Rattus norvegicus: one gene and its partners. The protein of the gene in region 1 interacts with the protein of each later gene in a biochemical or structural test. Links are inferred from orthologs where the notes say so. Each region holds a gene or a part of one and is shown in the gene's direction. Other genes may lie near its edges.

Region 1 (6,166 bases):
AAAATCCTTTTTATTGAATTATCACCGAGTAATGGAAGAGTCAATGAAGAGTCACCACAGAGTTCCAAAGCCAGCGCTTGCTGGCCAAAAGAAAGCAAAGCCCTAACGACTCCCCGCACCCAGCAATGATATAAAATATGTATTTTTTTATGTAACTGGGAGGAAAAAAAAATAAACGACAAGGCTGCCCCATGGGGGAGAAAACGCCTCTTTCTTTTTTTTTTCCATTATCTTGTTCGGGGCATGATCTGGGCAGGAGCTTCAGTGGGAAAGGAAATACCAGAGCCTTCTCCCTCAGAGCCGCCTGGTGGGCTAAGAAGCAGAGGGAGCCAAGAAGCAGAAATCCAAAAGGCTGCTCTGTGTGTGCTTGGAAAGCCATTGAAATGGAGGGGTCAGCCTGCAGGGAGAGCTGGTGGAATCAGTGGGGGTTGTGTGGGTTAGAGACAGCACCTCTGTGGATGAGGCTGTGCTCTCTGTGGACTCAGGTTCACCGTTAGCACGGTGGGAAATACTCATGGTCAGATTGGGCTGGACCTTTCAAAGGCACAACCTCCACACTTCAGTCATTGCTTCGGCGTTAGCACAGATGAGGACTTGCCCAAGGTTGCACAGCTAGTGACTGGCAAGAATATTATTTTGTAGTTTTGGGTTGCTTGTTGAGATTCACGGGGCTCAAATCCAGTACATAGCTGAGAAGGATGGCTTTGAAGTTATGATCTTCCTGCCCATGTGTAACCCCTATGTGCCTATTACACAGAGGCACCACCATGACTGGTTTATACAGTGCTGAGGATGGTACCCAGGGCCTCATGCATGCACTTGACAAACTGAGCCACATCCCCAATCTCTGTTTTGCCAAGGCTAGGCCAACAGGAGTGAGAGGTGCCTTTGTTTTCATGTAGCCAAGCAACACAGACACGGCAGGCCATAGGCAGACAGGGAAACTGATCTAACGTTTGTCTATTTTCTTTTTGATCCTAAAATTATGTACCGGGGACAGGATTCTCTGATGAAGGTGCTGATGGCTGTGCTATGGCTATGGCATTAAAAGTCTCTGTCTCTGGGGCAGGAGAGCTTGAGTTCTGGTCTTTGCTTTAGCATTGACTTGCTACATGATATCAAGTTGAAGGTAAATAACAGATTTGAGAGACTACTAAAGCATCTCTTCCAGCTCAGCATGAAAAACAAAACAAAACTGACTGGAGAGGGCTGGAGAGATGACTCTGTTTGAGAGCACTGGCTGCCCTTCTAAAGGAACCAGGTTCAAATCCTAGAACCCACATGATAGCTTATAGCTGTCTGTAATTCCAGTTCTAGGAGATCTGATACCCTCACATAGACATACATGGAGGGGGGGAACACCAATGTAAATAAAACTTTAAAAATAAAAAATGTAAAATAAAAATAACGAAACAAAAAACCTGACGGGCGTGGTGGTACATATCATACTCCCGACATTTAGGATGCTGATGCGAGAGGATCCTAAGGTTAAAGCCAGTCTGGGCTGCTTAGGAAGAACTTGTCTCAGAAAACAAATACACACAAAGTCGTAGTGGCACATGCCTTTAATGTTAGTTAGCTCTTGGGAGGTAGCAGTAGTTGGAGCTCTGCGAGTTCGAGGCCAGACTGGTCTACATAGTGAGTTCTGAGAGAGACCTCAAACAAACAAACAAACAAACAAACAATAACCAGACAAACAAGGGGCCAGGGAGGTGGCTTGGGAGTTAAGATGACTTGCTCTTCTTCCAGGGGTTCAGAGTTCAGTTCCCACGCTGAGCACTGAAATTGCCTGTAATTCCTATTCCAGGGGATGCTAATCCATTGGCTTCCTCCCTGGCTCACTAACCTCCTGAGAACTGAAGTTAAGAGAACAGATTTTAGTGGAGCTACCGGGTAGTGGGTCCCTGTAGCTCCATCCCAGAAGTGAGGAGACTGAGACAATAGTGAGTTCAAAGCCACACTGGACTACATAGCAAGACTGTATCTCAAAAGGGAGGGGGACAGGTGTTAGAAAATTAGATGATTAGTCTGGTCTGGTGCCCCAAATCCTAGCATTTGAGAGGCTGAAACAAGAGGATGGCTGAGGCTACTTGGGCTGGAAAACAAACAAAAAAGGCTACCAAAGAAAACCGCCGGAGAGATAGCTCAGTCAGTAAAGGCGAAAACGGCATCTGTGGCACAAGCGTTTGCGAGTATATGCCTCCCCTCGCGCGACACACACACACACACACACACACACACACACACACACACACACACACACGTTAAAATGTCATTTAAAATCCTTAAGACAATGTAAATCAAACCAAACAAACTCATCTAACCAAACAAAATAAATACAAACAAAACAGAAACCTAGATGAAGAGTAAAGTCTTTTGTAACTGCAAGTCTCAGTGGGCCAGAGCACAGCTAGGCTAGGATTCGAGCGACCGAGGAATAAGGAAGCAAGGAAGTCTCCTAAGCCCGGCCCATGTCACCAATTTACAGACGGGTGGAGGAAGTTGAGGGCAGTGCGGGCTCCTTGGTTGCCACCTGCAGGTGCGTCCCCAGCCAATCAGCGGCGCCGGGGGCGGTGCCTGCGGGCTCACCTGGCGGCCGCAGCCTCTGCTTGGCTCACTGGTGTGGGAGCCGCGGCGCACTACTGAGTTCTCAAGAACTTCTGCTAGACTTCAGCCCGGCCTAACCCGGCCCTGCCCGACCGCACCCGAGCTCAGTGTTTGCTCGGCGTTTGCCCGGCCAGCCATGGGAGCCCGGTGCCGCAGCTTCTCCGCGCTCCTGCTCCTGCTGCAGGTATGTGGAGGGTCCCACGACCCGCTTCGCTTTTTCGCTTTTTTTTTTTTTTTTTTTTTGCCTTCTGTGGTTCCACTTCCCTTCTTCCAAGAAAGTTGGGCTCCAGAGGGCCAGATCGCCCTGGAGGCTACGCTGTGCAGGGAGGGAGGTCCAGGAGAGCGCAGAGGGGCCGCCTCTCGCTTAGGTTCCCAGGTGGGGGCGCGCCACGCTGCCGTCTCCCGGGACCCCGAGTTGAGCAGGGTCCCTGTTTGAGACGGACGGAGGAGGCGTGTATTAGGATGGGGGCCTGCCTGTAGAAGGTGGGGGACAGAAGGAGCGCGGACGACCCGAGATAAGGAAAGGGATTTTAGTACCACAAAAAGCACCTGCCATGTGAGGGAGGGACCGTAGATTGGAGATGGGCTCTCTAAGGTAAGAGGGAAGTCCGAGGCGTTGGTTGAGACCGTTCGCGGTCTAAGAAAGTGGTGTCCGGAAAGAGTAAAGGCGTCTCCAGTGAGATGCAAATGGAGCTAGGAGAGAAAGGTAGACCCGGTTGCCAGGTGGTGGCCCCAGATGCCCCCTCCCCCAAAGGCTCTTGGAGCTGAGCTTGGAGGCTGGTTTCGGGTTGAGAGGGTTGCGTCCCGGTCTGCCCCGAGGGGGTCCTCCCACAAATCCCGACCGCCCAGGCGAGGGAAGGGTTACTCTTGGTTTCGGTGTGGGCTGTTGGGAACCCCCTCAAGTCACCAGTTTGTCTACCTTCTCGCCACCCCAGGTCTCCTCGTGGCTTTGTCAGCAGCCGGAGTCGGAGTCTGACTCCTGCCGTCCCGGCTTCAGTTCCGAGGTCTACACCTTCCTGGTGCCGGAGAGGCACCTGGAGAGAGGCCACATCCTGGGCAGAGGTAAGGGAACTCCACTGCGTTAATCGGCCGAGTGGGGTCGGATAGGGAAGGCGCCAAGAAATTGTGCTACTTTGTCGGTAGGATGGAATGGGCAGAACTCTCCCTTGGGATTTAGGCAGATTTGGGAGTCTATTTATTGATTGTGGTTGATCAAGGCAGATATGTCTGTCTCTGCTATTTATACAGGGCAGAAACGGGCCAAGGGTATTTAGAGGTCATCGGTATTTCTCCAACCGATTACTGGAGCCAGTCTGTCATTCCAGACCGCCAAACCTGCTGGGTAGGGCCAGTTGAACTGTATATCCATTTAATGATGAGCAATTGGAGGCTCAAAGAGTGACTTCACGGGGTCAACAGGGCAGGCATTTGAACCGGGATTTGACTCCCACTATTTAGGTATGGCCACTGAGGAACTGACTCATAACTCATGAACATGACTTGTGGTTTTTGTTCATAAAGATAAAAATACTTGATACAGGTATTGCTTTTCCAAGGAATACTTTATTTATTTATTTATTTATTTTTTACTTTCTTTAAGAAAAAAGGTAGCTCTGGTTCATATATTCAAGGACTCAATATATATTCAGGTCTTACTGTGATAATCTAGAATTTTCTTTAACTGTTGGGCATGGCTGGGAGCAAGGCAAGAGGACCAGGTGTTTTGTTGTTGTTGTTTGTTTTTTAACTGGTTTCCCTAATTTCCAAATGCTTCTTTGGCACCAAAATGGCTTCTCTCATGAGGAGTTTAGTTGATCCCAAAAGTATGATAAACAAAAGGGAATAATTTTAGAAGGAGAACTCACCCAATCCCTTTCTGGGAATACTTTGACCACGTTTGTTCTTCCAGCCATAAGCCACCTGAACAATCTACAGCAACCGTGATGGCGCCTAAAACTTTGTTGTGAGCCTTGCGAGTTGGGTCCAGGTTTGGTGGTGCATTTTACAGAGAAACAGCAGCTCCGTTGGGATTGGCTAGTCTTACTTGCTTTTCTGAGACCTGACTGGTTTGGTGGAACTTTTTTTTTTTTTTTAAGATTTATTTATTTATTTCATGTATGTGAGTACACTGTAGCTGCCTTCAGACACACCAGAAGAGGGCGTTAGATCTCATTACAGATGGTCGTGAGCCACCATGTGGTTGCTGGGAATTGAACTCAGGACCTCTGGAAGAGCAGCCAGTGCTTCTCACCACTGAGCCATCTCTCCAACCCATTGGTGGAACTTTCTAAGGGTCCAGAAAGGCTGCAGCCCCGTGGGCCTGAGGTTGGAGTGGTTAGGGATCCTTCAGCCAGTCTCCACTTGATTCCTGCCCAAGGAATAATTTGAGCCTCTGGTAGGTTGCTGAGAGCATTTCAGGATGCCCTTCAGTGGCACTTTGGGATGGACTGGTGAGGGATGAGTGGCCTAGGATGTTTCCGAGGGTGGCAGTGAGTGTCTGAGAATAAGTAGATGTCACTCAGTGTGGAGCAGAGCAGGCTTAGACATGGGAGCGCTTATATATCAGGGATCCCAATGCAGTGCCTCAGTTAGGACCGCCTATGTCAGCAGCGCTGAGGATGAGACCTGTAATGGCCTGTTACAGGTTAGCCAGGAACTTTACCACCTGTGTGTTGGTCGGGTTTTTTGTTTGTTTGTTTGTTTGTTTGTTGAGACAGGATCTCCCTATGTGATTCTCCTGCCTCAGACTGTGCTGGGATTACATGCTCACTTTGGCACTAACCTGGTTTTTATTTTGCACCTCTAAGGGCTAGTGAATAGTCACTAACACCACTGGTTATCGGTGACAAGATCACTTAAAACTGATAGTACCACCTGTTCACTTTGGTCCCGTGAGGCGAGTGAGTCATTTACCTAAAGTAAAAATGAGAATGTCTGGAGGGTGGACACCATTCCAGTCCTCAAGGAACTCACGAGCCTGACTGGCTTCTGTATTGCCTGAAGCATCTACTGCAGGTCCTCCTCTTCTTGGTTTCCTTTTCTCCCGAAGAGAAGACAAAAATAAGTGAAAATGTGTGCTGCTGCTTGGTGTGGTGGTTCACACCTGTGACCAGCATTCCGGAAGTGAAGTGTGTGAGCTGCCTCCCTGGTGGTTCACACCTGTGACCAGCTCTTGGGGGAGGGGGGGAAGCTCTGAGGCCAGAGGCTTGCTAAAAGCTGGACGTTTGAGGTCAGCCTGGTCTATGTAGTGATTTACCTTGACTACCGAGTGAGATGAGACCTTTCCTAAAAGAACAAGAAAGAAAAAGAAGAAGGAAGGAGAGAGATGGGAGAGGAGGGAGGGGGCGCGGGATATGTGTGTGCGTTTTCGGGGAAAACACAGTCCATTGTGAAAATTGAGGACAGAGGTCTTGAGGTAGGGGGAGCTGAGAGTGGCTGGCTCTGATGGAGATAGAGCTTGCCCTGTGGGAGTTAAAGAGCCTCCCCGCTGAGAGCATGCTCAGTGGGAGGTAGAGAGCCCCGCCACCACCGGTGGTTTAGGTGGGAGAAGCAGCTTCCA
Region 2 (5,961 bases), on another chromosome or scaffold:
GTATAGTCATGTCTGGCTTTTTACATTGGTGCTGTCATCTGAACCAGGTCCTCATGGTTGAGCAGCAAGCGAGCATTTATCCACTGAGGCGTGTCTCCAGTGAGAAAGAGTTATTTTCGTTTTCTAGTTAAGGAAACTGAGGTTCAGAGACTATATAATTTGGCCAAGGTCTTATAATGGTGCAAACATCTGAACTAGTGTCCTTGTAGAGGTATAGCTGGAAGCCAGCAGTTTGACTGCAGTCTCTCTTCTTAGCCAATATATCACCATTATAGATTATGAAAGCTTTATGCAGATACATTTTGCAGTAGCCAATAGGAACACATACCTATTGTCCCAGCACTCAGGGGGCAGACACAGGGGAATTTCTGTGAGCTCAAAGCCAGCTTACCTCGTCTAGATATCTAGAGTTCTAGGCCAGTCAGGGATACATAATGAGACTCTGTCTCAAAAAATAAAATAAAAATAATTTTAAAAATAGGACTAGAAGTAGGTAAAGGTACTTACCACCAAAATAATGAGCAAAATTTAATCCCTGGACACACATGGAGGAAGGAAAGAACTGATTCCTGAAAATTGTTCTCTGACCTGAATATGACTTCTGTGGTACATGTGTACCTATGCACACATAAATAAATCTAATTAAAATACATAAGGAGAAACCTTCCAATTCATCATCTTCATTTAGTAATTAGTAAATAACTGATACCAGTTTTACAGGGTGGTAATATAACTTCAACCCTATCACTCAGAAGTCAAAAGCGCAAGGCTTTTGAGTTTGAGGCCAGCCTGGGGTAGTGTGAGATCCTGTCTTTAAAGTAAAGCAACCTCCCCACCCGAGAAAAAACAAAATCCAACAACAAACACACCCCCTTCCCCTCCTAAATTTTAAAGGAATTCAGAGGAAAACCCCTATAATATTTAGGTCAAATAAAAAAAGCCAGGTGATTTTGAGTTGATTAAAAAATAGCACTCTTTTAGTTATTTTAACGGTATCCTTAACTATTCTGAACTCTTTGTTTATTGGATTCTGCCTATTGTCCCAGGCAGACCCATATTGTTTTGATGGGAAGATAGTGCTGTTCTTCAACAGCTTAGTGGATCCTGCTTTCTTTTAATTTAGAGCAGAGAGGCTAACAAAGTATTAACAAGTCTAAGCATTTATTTTCCTCATTAGCTTTTAATTCAATCAAATCAAAACAATGAAATTGAGGGTTTGTCTTAGATATTTTCTACCATCTCAGTCAACACATAGTCCTGTTTCTGGGATTTCTCCCTCCTTCTTTCCTAGCTTCCTTTGGGGAAATGCTTAAAGAAAGAAAACAGCAAACCAAATCGCAGCAGGTAAAGTAAGCTCTTTTCTGTTTTCCCACCCAGATAGGTAGGAAAAGGGAACAAGACCCTCCTCAAAGAGAACTGAGGCTTAGGCGTGCCGTTCTAAAAAGCTTTGTTATTTAGCACCTCCCTCCCTCCCCCCAGCTCTGCAGTAATTCCTCAGAGATTGTATAGTCTCCGCTTTAAATATATATAATATATATATATAAAACTTCCTCGTCTTTCTCTCGCCTTTTTTTTTTTTAATTTCCTATAATAAAGTTTCCTATTGGATAAGGTCAGCTCCCTGATTTATGCCTGGTTCCTATTGGAAGCTCGCAGGGGCTGACATCACTTAGGAAAGCTAGGGTAGGGCTGCCAGATCAGTTTGTCACCACCCAGGCTCCCTTGCCTTTGGCTGGGTGCAACTTCCATTTTAGGTGTTGGATCTGAGGGGAAAAAGAGAGAGGGAAAGGGAGAGAGAGAACGAGGGCGAGCAAGAGGGAGGGAGAGAGAGCGAGAGAGCGAGAGAGGCCGACAGACACGAAGGGAGAGGAGAAAGGCAGAAAGATCGTGGAACGAGGAAGAGGAAGAGGCGGCGAACCTCGCTGGATTCGTCTTTCTCAGCACATTGGTGAAGCTTTGGGTTTGTTTCTTAAAAGGACTGGCTTTAGAAGTCCACATTTGAGGTGTGTGCTTTTAAATTTTTTCCTTTTATTAAAATATGTATTTAACTAGTTGGGAAAGGGATAACGCAAGTGGAATCTTTTTCTTGATGGTAACTGGAGGGACTTTTAAAAGGTCGAGGAAGCCTGTTAATGCTGACGGTGAGTTTTAATCAATTATTTTTTCTACTTTTAATACTTTGGAGGTTTCTTGGTATTTAAGGAAAAGGTAAAACGTACAAGACCTAGAAACAAACTTCTAGGTCTAATACCGGAAGCTGGTTAGAACCAGGGATAGAAGTTGTGTAAATTACATTTTTGTGTGTACTTTTATATTTTTTTCTGGATTTAGCTAACATACTCTTTTATTCAGAGCTCAAAAAGTTGTTTTTTTGGCATGTTGTGTGTGGGTTGGGAAAGGAATTTGTCCTGGTCGGAGGCTAGTCGTACAGATGGCTCCTACCATGTTTCGGAACTTTTAGCCCCCTCACCTTTGTATTTGTGGCAGTGGAAAGTTGCAGGAAGCTTTCGAATTTCAATGGTATTGTTTTTTCCTTCTGAACGTGAACGGCCCAGAAGGGTTTCAACTCTGCAGTTCCTGGGTGGATCCCTCTTTCACTTTTCCAGGTGTGGTGGTGGGTGGGAGCTGCTGTCGCCTGCCTAGGAGACTCTTTGCTTTGCCTTGTGAAAACAAATGGGTCTATGTTAACTGTTAACTGAATTGCCACTACTTTTTTTCCTCCCTCTCTTTCTCTCTCTCTCTCTCTCTCTCTCTCTCTCTCTCTCTCTCTCTCTCTCTCTCTCTCTCTCTCTCTCTCCCCCCTTTTCTTTCTTGTCCTAAAAGTCCTTTTAATGCCACAGATTTGTGAAGGTGTATGTTAAACTTGCAGATATGCTAATGTTTGGCCCTTAAAGGGATAAGGAAATTCTAATCATGCTTTCTCTTGACCGGAGTGAAACCACAGAACACCTGAAAGTCTTTTCCAGCCCTTTGGTCTCTGAAAGATTTGTAGGTTGTGAATAGACAGGTGAAGAGAAACCACTTAATGAAAACTTAGAGTTTGCAAAACACATTTGAGAACGCCTTACAAAGGGAATTTTATTTTTAAGCCACTGGAAAGATGCTTTTAGAGGTGTCTTTGTTTGCTTGCTCAGTTAACTTATTAGAACACTGTTAAAGCTAAAGGCCTGTGACTGCCTCATGTTTTATACTTGACCTTAAGAGTTGCTTGGTTTGCTTTGTGTATGTACATCTTGGAAATGTCCAGATCCTAGGTAATTATATAGCCAACTCATCAGTAGCTGGAACACAGGTACTTTCTTCTTTTAAAATGGGAATCAGAATGGAAATTAGAGCTGGAATAGATACTGCTCTAATTGTAGCAAGATGGGTCTTAAAGTATAAGCTCCTCATTACCTTTAAACTGATAGGAATCTTTAATCTTCTGATTTCATAGTCCCTGCCCCCATTCTTTTTAGTCTAGAACATTTCCTTGAATATTTTTCTACAGGGAAGACATTCCTTGCAGGATGGTTTTGTCATTGTGCGGTTGTGGCTTCTGGAGGAAACAAGTTTTGTTCCTCTTTTCCTTTCCATATAATTTAGGCAAGGATTACAGAAAAACATTGGACGTGTGGACCTCAGGATTAAAATAGGCAATTGAAAAGAAAGAAAAAGTCACTATGTACAGTCTGTTGGGCTATGGTTCTGATTTCCAATTTTTCAATTTTCCTTTGAAATGTTTTTCCAAGGAGATTTCTTAGTGTGTCTTTGGAGGGTCGGTCTGTTGCTGCCAGAGTGTCGGTTTCTCACTCAGCCTTTAGGGGGAGGGATGAGAGTCTGAAGGAGGAGTACAAAGGCAGTTTGAAAATAGGTTCTGGATGACTGCTGGTGATCTGGGTCCGGCTTTGAAACTGGGCTTTGTGTAGCGGTGTTGTGCAGCATTAGGGTCCAGGACAATTTACAAACTAAGGCATTGTTTGGCCTGCCTATAGTACAGAGCCTTTTGAGGTGGTAAGATGGAAGATTTTTGTCTTTTACTTCACCTTCCCTGGTTCTTCCAGGAATTGAAAGGGTACAGATAAGTAAATCTTTTATTTTGCTACTTATTTTCTGTGCTTCTTATTTGGGGTTTGCGGTGAAAATGATGATAGATGAGTATGAAATGTACAGGTTTTCTTTCCTTGTTTGCTTTATATGGAATTCAGTTAGTTTCTTTGTTATGTGAGTAAGGTAGTGGGGTCTGTGTTTCAGGTGTGTGTGGTTGATTAGAGTTCTAGTGCCTTTCCTAGGAGTCGAGTATGTACAGCCAGGGGGGTCAACATGGTCTCAGCTGGTCTAAAATTGGGACTCTTTGAGACCTTAGAAAGGAGACGGACGCTTCCTGTAATCACATGCCAGCCGTAGGTTTATCAAATAATTGTTCCTTAGGGGTAGATGAGACTGGATGCAGGCTGATAAATTCAGCTTAGATCACTATCAGTTGCAATAGCAAAATATTTAGCTCAGTATAATTTATTGCTTTCTATTGTGGTAGGTGACGGCCCTCTGTTAGTACCTTCTGGGTCTTCCCGTCCCGTCCCCTCCCTGTCATTGTCTTATTTTACAGTGTACTAAGCATTTTTTGTAGACTACCTAATTTCTAACCATTTTTTTTTAGAAATGAATTTGAGATAATGAAGCTGGGGTTTGCTGAACAACTCATTCTTTAAACGGTGGAGGTCGAGATTGACCCTGGTCTGATTGACTACAGAGTCGATGAATTTAACCAGGGTTACATTGCTATTACCCAAAGAGAATGGACATAACAGCTGGGACTAAAATAAATGAAGCCTGGCTCTGGGCAGGACTGTTTTAGTTGTTCCTTATAGGGACCAAGTTCGGATAGTATATGTAAAAGGCTAGTTTCCTTAGAGCCAGTGAGAGCTGAGTATGCTGGCATAGATGATGTCTTAGTCCTAAAAGCAGGGATCATAAATACACACGACTGCTGTCCCATTAGTCTCTTTTTTTCCCCCTTTTGCAGTGCTGGGCATTGAACTTGGGGTCTCACACAGGTGAGGCAGGTGTCTGCCATTGAGCTCATCAGCAGTCCTGCTTTCTTATTTGTTTGTTTATTTTGAGACAGGGTTCAACTCTGTAGACTAGGCTGGCCTTGAACTCACAGAACTGAAACTCACCTGCCTCTGCCTCCCAAGTGCTGGGACTAATGACATGCACGACCATGTCTTGTTAACTTCTGGGATATGTTTCAACCTTTGTTTGCTTGTTATTTGTCTTCTAGACAGTTTTCAGTTCTTTGGGTTGAATGAGAAGCTTGTAGGAGGTAGTTGTGTGTAATAAATGTATCATAAAATTATCATATCTTTCACTGCAGACTGGGAGCTGCTCGGTGTTGGTACTATCTTATTCCTTCATTACCCATTGTAGTGTCTGCTACAAACTGAGGTGCTCAGTAAGCCTTGTTTAATTACAGTACTTGATGGGAATTAGTGGGGCCTGAGAAGGCTTAAATGGAGACAGGAATCAGTACACCATGAATTAGTTACATTCCTGTGTAATTTTGACACTTTCACTGTTACCTGTAGTTTGGATTTTTTATTTATTTCTTTCTATTTTTCTGTTTACATGTATTTCATTGTGGGGTGGGGAAGGGCGGGCACCTGCTCCTGCTGAGACCAGGTGTGTGGAAGTCAGGACAATTAGGCCATGGGAGAGAATCTGTTCTCTTTCCATGGCGTTGGTTCTGAGGATAGAACTCAAGTCCTTATGCTTGCTTGATGTCAAGTTCTTTTATTCTTGAGACATTTCACCAACCCTAATCATTTCTTTGGGGTGGAGTCTCATGTAACTGAGTATCACCTTGAATTTGTGGTCCCTTCTTCTTAGCTTCTTTTAAACAAAGTGTCTGGAAATAATGAAAGATCTTTAAGGTTTAGCTTTTCTTGGCAGTCAGTCTAAAGAACAGTGTAAGAAGTAAGG
Region 3 (6,184 bases), on another chromosome or scaffold:
CAATCAGATGGTTTTGTACAGGTACCTGTAACTGCAGTGAGTTCGTGAGCATCATTTTGCATCACACCTGTTACGTGACTAAACACACATCCACTCACCCCAGATAGGGAGCTCAAGACAGACCAAAGTATGGATACCACCAAAGTCCAACTTGGTGAACCAAAGAGTTTTATTATAGTTTCTCGCGGAAGCAGAAATGACTCGAAGACAACTGCGTCACCTAGGCCCACCCCAGCATAGGTGACAAGCTCACAAACGCTGGGAAACCTGGAGCACAGTGCTTCAAGCAAGTGTGAGAAGTGCTTGTCTTAAATAAAACAAACCAGGTTCACACACACACACACACACACACACACACGTTGGGGGATAAGGAGGCAATCCTGGGATATAGTATTTGCTTACTAAATATATTAATTTGCATAGCAATGATTACTAGAGGGCTAGGGATACCTCTCCATTGGTAGTGTTTGTCCGCCATGCTTGAAATCCTCGCTTCAATCATGAGTGTGACATAAATCCAGTGTAAAGTTGTATGCTGTACTCTCAACACTGAGGAGGTAGAGGAGGGAGAACAGGAGATTTAAGGTCATTCTCAGCTACATAGGGACTTCGACCTGTGATGTATTTTATAAAACCAAGGATATGTTTTACAGAGCACAGTATGGTGTGGTGGGAGGGAATACCTCAGTGGACCGATGCTGAAGCATATACCCTTCACACCAGATACCAGCCATGATGGGTTTAGTACAGAATAGTTTATTTGGGGGCATGGGAAAGGGAGTTGAGAAAGGAATAGAGACAGAGAAAGAGAGGGGACAGAGGACAGAGAGAAGGGGGAAGGGAGGGGAAGGGAAAGGAGAGGAGGAGAGAAGCAGTTCTTTTTTTATAGCAAACTGGCCTATCTGGCTGTTGCTAGGTAACTGTTGGGCAGAGCATAGAAGGAATGCCAACAACCTGTGCTACAAGAGATCCTGGTCAACAAATAAATAAATCCTCATTGATGTTACTGAAATTTAATGTGGAAAAAGATTTCACTGAAGTTATTTAGCCTTAATAAGGTGTCTGAGGTAGAAGGATGGAGTGCTGCATTATGGATTCTTGTTAAATAGAATAGATTCTACAAAACTGTATTTTTGAAGTAATCTTAAACAGGAGCGAAATTAAGCATGTGGCACATTTTCTTTTGTCCCTGGGGCAGTAGCTATTGGGGCGATTGGTATGTTAATCTATTTGCTTAGGCTATAACTTCATGCTATAAACCTCAAAATCCATCCCAGGCAGCGGTCGGAACAATCATACTAAAGACTGTCTCTGCTTCAAAGCTTTCGCGAACTCTTAAGATAGTACTGGCACTTCTGTAGATGAGGATGAGAAACAGTAAGTAGGGGCTGGAGAGATGGCTCAGCGGTTAAGAGCACTGACTGCTCTTCCAGAGATCCTGTTCAAATCCCAGCAACCACATGGTGGCTCATTCATAACCGTCTGTAATGGGATCAGATGCCCTCTTCTGGTGTGTCTGAAGACAGCTACAGTGTACTTATATATACTAAATAAATAAATCTATTTTTAAAAAGAGAAACAATAAATAGGACAGCAAAACTGTTATGCGTGCTCCAGAAACGTGGCGGCCCCACAGTCATTTTCCTAAGGTCCAACGGAGTTGCCTTGGACAGCACACAAGTGGGCATTGCCGGCCAAGCCTACCTAAAGCAGGTGGCAGCAAAGAGGCGAGTGCGCAGGCGCAGAGCTTGACCTCACGAGGGGTGGGCGGTGCTGCCAGCTACAGCCTCGCTCTGGCCCCACCCCTCGCCGAACTTGGGATCGCGGGATCGCCCAGGAAACGCATTCTACGGGAACCCGCAGCACCAATGGGAAGAGAGCGAGTGCCATGAACTGACCAATGAGGAGGGAGCGGCCCGGGGTTTAAACCCAGGCCCGGCAGACTCCTCCCGGCGTGCTGTGGGGGAACGGCTGTTAGTGTTTAGGTGTGGGCAGCCAGAGGTTAGGGTGTCTTCTCAGATCGGCGAACCTCTGCTTCAGGAGGAGCCATGGCGCTCAGGGTCACTAGGGTGAGTCGGGCCGGGCGCTGCGGTCCTCGCTGTGGGAGAAGGCCGCGGCGGCCAGGAGGGGAAGGGGATGCCCGGAAGGTTCCGGCCAATGGAGGAGCTAAGGACCCTCCCTGGAGGGTGAAAAAAGACTTCGGGACATATCTGGGCTGAAGGACTTAGAGGGAGTAGGGTGGTGTGCTTTTAATGATGAAGGCCCAGAGTGAATCTTCCCAGAGTCTGTCTGCCCAGAGTCTTCCCAGAGAGCTGTCTACAAGGAGGCTTTCATGATTACCTTTCCGATGTAAATTTCACCGTGTTTAGGATTGCTTGGGACTTAAAGGGAAATTGGATAATAGGTGAACGTTTTGGGTGGAAACCTGCTTGTCAGGGCTGGAGGATAGATCCTAGAGCCCTTGCTTTCCATAGTGGGGTCCCGCCTTAATTAACCCATGACTTCCTGGAGCCGCCATGGATCCTCTCTCAAGTGGTTCTTACTTCTTTCAGAACACGAAAATTAACACAGAAAATAAGGCCAAGGTCAGCATGGCAGGCGCCAAGCGTGTGCCTGTGGCAGTTGCTGCCTCCAAACCCCTGCTGAGATCGAGAACTGCTCTTGGAGACATTGGTAATAAAGTCAGCGAACAGTCAAGAATACCCCTCAAAAAGGTAACTTATCTTCCTGGTCCAGTTATCCTGAAAAAGCCCATCTTCTAGGTGTCACCGTTGGAAAAACATTCTGTTCTTTCACTTTCATCCACAGGAAACAAAAAAGTTAGGTTCTGGAACAGTTACTGTTAAAGCCCTACCAAAACCTGTGGACAAGGTGCCAGTGTGCGAACCAGAGGTGGAACTGGATGAGCCTGAGCCTGAACCTGTTATGGAAGTGAAACACTCTCCTGAGCCTATTTTGGTAAACTTAGCATTTTAAAAAGTGTATTCCTCCTCTCTGACTTCATTTCATGTTGATGCACACGACGGCATTTAAATATATTGTTTATTGAGTGGTTAGTGCATTTTACGTGCACTAACAGCTCTAGGGTAAGTATTAGCACTCTGCTTCAGATGGTGGCAGATAAATATGGTAGGGCTCTTGTTTTATGTAGACAGTCTCACTGTGTGCTCCTGGCTGGCCTGGAACATAGAGGTTTGCCTGCCCCTCGAGGCCTGGGATCCAGAGGTGGCATAATCATTTTCTTTTTTGTGTAACTGTATAGCTTCCGCTGTCCTTGAGTTTGAGATTCCCACCTCTCCAATGCTGGGGTGATATATTCAGGCTAGATCTTTTAATTGGTTTCTTTAAAAGGAAAAAAAAATCTCAGACAGAAATAAGATTAATTAAATAGGGTCCTTGGTAACACATCTTCCAATCCCAGCATTCTGGCCTAGAGGCAGGTGGGCCTCTAAGTTCAAGGCGGGCTGTGTATATAGTAAGATCCAGTCCAGACAGAGCTGCATCTAGTGAAACCGTTTAAAAAAAAAAAATAGGGCTGGAGAGATGGCTCAGAGGTTAAGAGCACTGACTGCTCTTCCAAAGGTCCTGAGTTCAAATCCCAGCAACCACATGGTGGCTCACAACCATCTGTAATGGGATCTGATGCCCTCTTCTGGTGTGTCTGAAGACAGCTACAGTGTACTTATATATAATAAATAAATAAATCTTTAAAAAAAAAAAAGATGATGGATTAATGTTGATGGGTTAACATTTAAGCCCCAAATGGAAGTTTACCTGAGTTCGTAGCCTGTTAGATTGTGTTTAGCATAGGGATGCTCTGGGTTCAGTCCTTGAGTACTAAAACCACACACACACACCGCCAGATTTTACTACTAGGTGTGATGGTGCATGTTTGTGATTTTAGTACTTCCTCTAAGGCAGGAGGGTTGAATGCTCAAGGCTAGCTAGGGCTCTCTGGGTTTGTAATCAAGAACTTGTATTCACCTGAATAATTGATTAATTGATAATTGAAGGCTTGGCATTCTTTTGAATTGACCTCACATGATGCTGATGAATAAATGGCTTTATTATCACTTACCTGCTCGTTTCCTTTGACTTGCCTTACATGTTAGTATCTATAGAGTCCTGTGTGTGCCCAATCGTATGTATCTGAAGAGAGACTCCTTTGGAGCTGGAGTAACAAGCATTTGTGAGCCACCCAGTGTGGATGCTAGGATCTGAATTCTGGTCCTCATGGAGTATCAAGGGCTCTTTAACTGCTGAGACAGTTCTCCAGCTCCCATGCTCTCTTGTATTTTGTGTGAGAATACACAGAGAAGTCAGAGACAGCTTTTTTTTTTTCCCCCTTCGGAGCTGGGGACCGAACCCAGGGCCTTGCGCTTCCTAGGCAAGCACTCTACCACTGAGCTAAATCCCCAACCCCTTAGAAGACAGCTTTTGAGTCAGTTCTTCCACCATGTGGATCTCCTGGGGGTTGAACTCAGTTGTTAGGCTTAGCAACAGGTACCTTTACCCGTCTTGCCAGCCCACTTCTTCGTACTTTAAACTACCTGAATCTAAATTGGGGCTTATTTTTTTATGAGACCAGATCTTGCTGGCTTGCAGTTTGCTATGGAGACCAGGCTGGCTTCAACTCAGAGACCTGCCTTCCAGGTGCTGGGATCAAAGCTTATATTAACCATGCCTGGCTCTGATTGTTAGAACTGTTTTCTGATTGTTAGAATTGTTTGTTTTTTTTAAAGATTTATGTATGTGAGTACACTGCAGCTGTCTTCAAACACACCAGAAGAGGACATTGAATCCCGTTACAGACGGTTGTGAGCCACCATGTGGTTGCTGGGAATTGAACTCAGGACCTCTGGAAGAGCAATCAGTGCTCTTAACCTCTGAGGCATCTCTCCAGCCTGCCATTTTTTGTTTGTTTGTTTTGTTTTGTTTTGTTTTGTTCTATGGTTTGTTTTTTTCTTCATGAGTGAGATATCAGTTTGCAATGAGTGCAGGGCCCAGGGAGATCTGAAGAGGTCGTCAGATATCCTGGAACTAAGGTTGAGTCACCTGGTTTTTTAATAGAAAACCAGCCCTTGGCAAAAGCAGCAAATGTTCTTTATAGCTAAAACCATCACTCCAGCCCAGTATGAATCATTTCCCAAAAAGAAATTGGGGGAAAGAATCTGAAATACCTTTCGTTTAATAAAATGAATTACATTTATTTAGAATGACTTACTGAATTGGGGATGATGACTTTACGCTCCCATGATGTAGCATGTTTCATGAAGTCTCTTTTCTTCAAGGTTGATACTCCCTCTCCAAGCCCAATGGAAACATCTGGATGTGCACCTGCCGAAGAATATCTGTGTCAGGCTTTCTCCGATGTGATTCTTGCAGTGAGTGATGTAGATGCAGACGATGGTGGTGATCCAAACCTCTGTAGTGAATATGTGAAAGATATCTATGCTTACCTCAGACAACTGGAGGTCAGTATTGTCATTAGCGTCTGCCTTTACTAACTGCAGCTACCCTAAGCCCTTACTCTTGCTATTTAAGATCCTCCTGGATCAGTATTCCTGGTGCTGGAATTAAAGGGAGATGCTGCACTATACCTGGTTTATCCCTTTATGTTATTTACTAACTAATTTAAAGGCTAGCCTGGAACTCACAGAGATCCTTCTGCCTCACTGGTGCTGGGATTAAAGTTCTGTGACATTCAATTCAGCTGTCAAAGAAATTTTTACTAACAGCGCACCTGACAATTTTTGACAATGAATACTATTTGTTACACTCAGAGCACTGTTGTTAGTTTTGAAACACTAAAAATAAAGTCACTAACCCCGTGAAGTGGACTTGCCACTTTGAATATAAAATGTCAGTGTTGGGAGATACCTTCCTAAAATAGACATACCATAGAGAGGGGGAAGTCCTACATGTGTGTGGTTCGAGAACGGGTTGGATGGTGCTAACAGACACTCGCTGTCCCACACAAGGCATTTTGTATCAGTGTGCGCTCGATTCTCTATCCAAGGTGGAAGTTGTTGGTCCCATCACCTCCACCTACTTGGAAAACTTTCTATCAATGGGACTTGCCCTTTTATCTTTTAAACAAGACATTCTATATAGTTCATGCAGTTTGATCAGGTTTAGACCCTCCCTGTCCCCCCAGTCCTAGGGACAGTCCTTGTGCGTGCTA

The links. The genes of interacting proteins can lie anywhere in the genome.
Region 2: the proteins of Cdh1 (region 1) and Ctnnd1 form a complex in vitro, tested with the Homo sapiens proteins (5 studies listed by BioGRID and IntAct, with this or other methods). The link is inferred for Rattus norvegicus from reciprocal best matches to the Homo sapiens genes CDH1 and CTNND1.
Region 3: of the proteins of Cdh1 (region 1) and Ccnb1, one has a biochemical effect on the other in vitro, tested with the Homo sapiens proteins (3 studies listed by BioGRID). The link is inferred for Rattus norvegicus from reciprocal best matches to the Homo sapiens genes CDH1 and CCNB1.

The regions. Positions count from the first base shown.
Region 1 is NC_086037.1:51,399,561-51,405,726, forward strand, and holds the start of Cdh1 (cadherin-1 precursor), read left to right. Parts: upstream 1-2,617; 5' UTR 2,618-2,743; coding exon 2,744-2,791; intron 2,792-3,094; exon of another isoform or gene 3,095-3,202; intron 3,203-3,542; coding exon 3,543-3,669; intron 3,670-6,166.
Region 2 is NC_086021.1:90,136,953-90,142,913, reverse strand, and holds the start of Ctnnd1 (catenin delta-1), read left to right. Parts: upstream 1-1,724; 5' UTR 1,725-2,003; intron 2,004-5,961. UniProt on the Homo sapiens protein: Key regulator of cell-cell adhesion that associates with and regulates the cell adhesion properties of both C-, E- and N-cadherins, being critical for their surface stability.
Region 3 is NC_086020.1:33,650,989-33,657,172, reverse strand, and holds the start of Ccnb1 (G2/mitotic-specific cyclin-B1), read left to right. Parts: upstream 1-1,947; 5' UTR 1,948-2,048; coding exon 2,049-2,069; intron 2,070-2,552; coding exon 2,553-2,714; intron 2,715-2,808; coding exon 2,809-2,958; intron 2,959-5,291; coding exon 5,292-5,474; intron 5,475-6,184. UniProt on the Homo sapiens protein: Essential for the control of the cell cycle at the G2/M (mitosis) transition.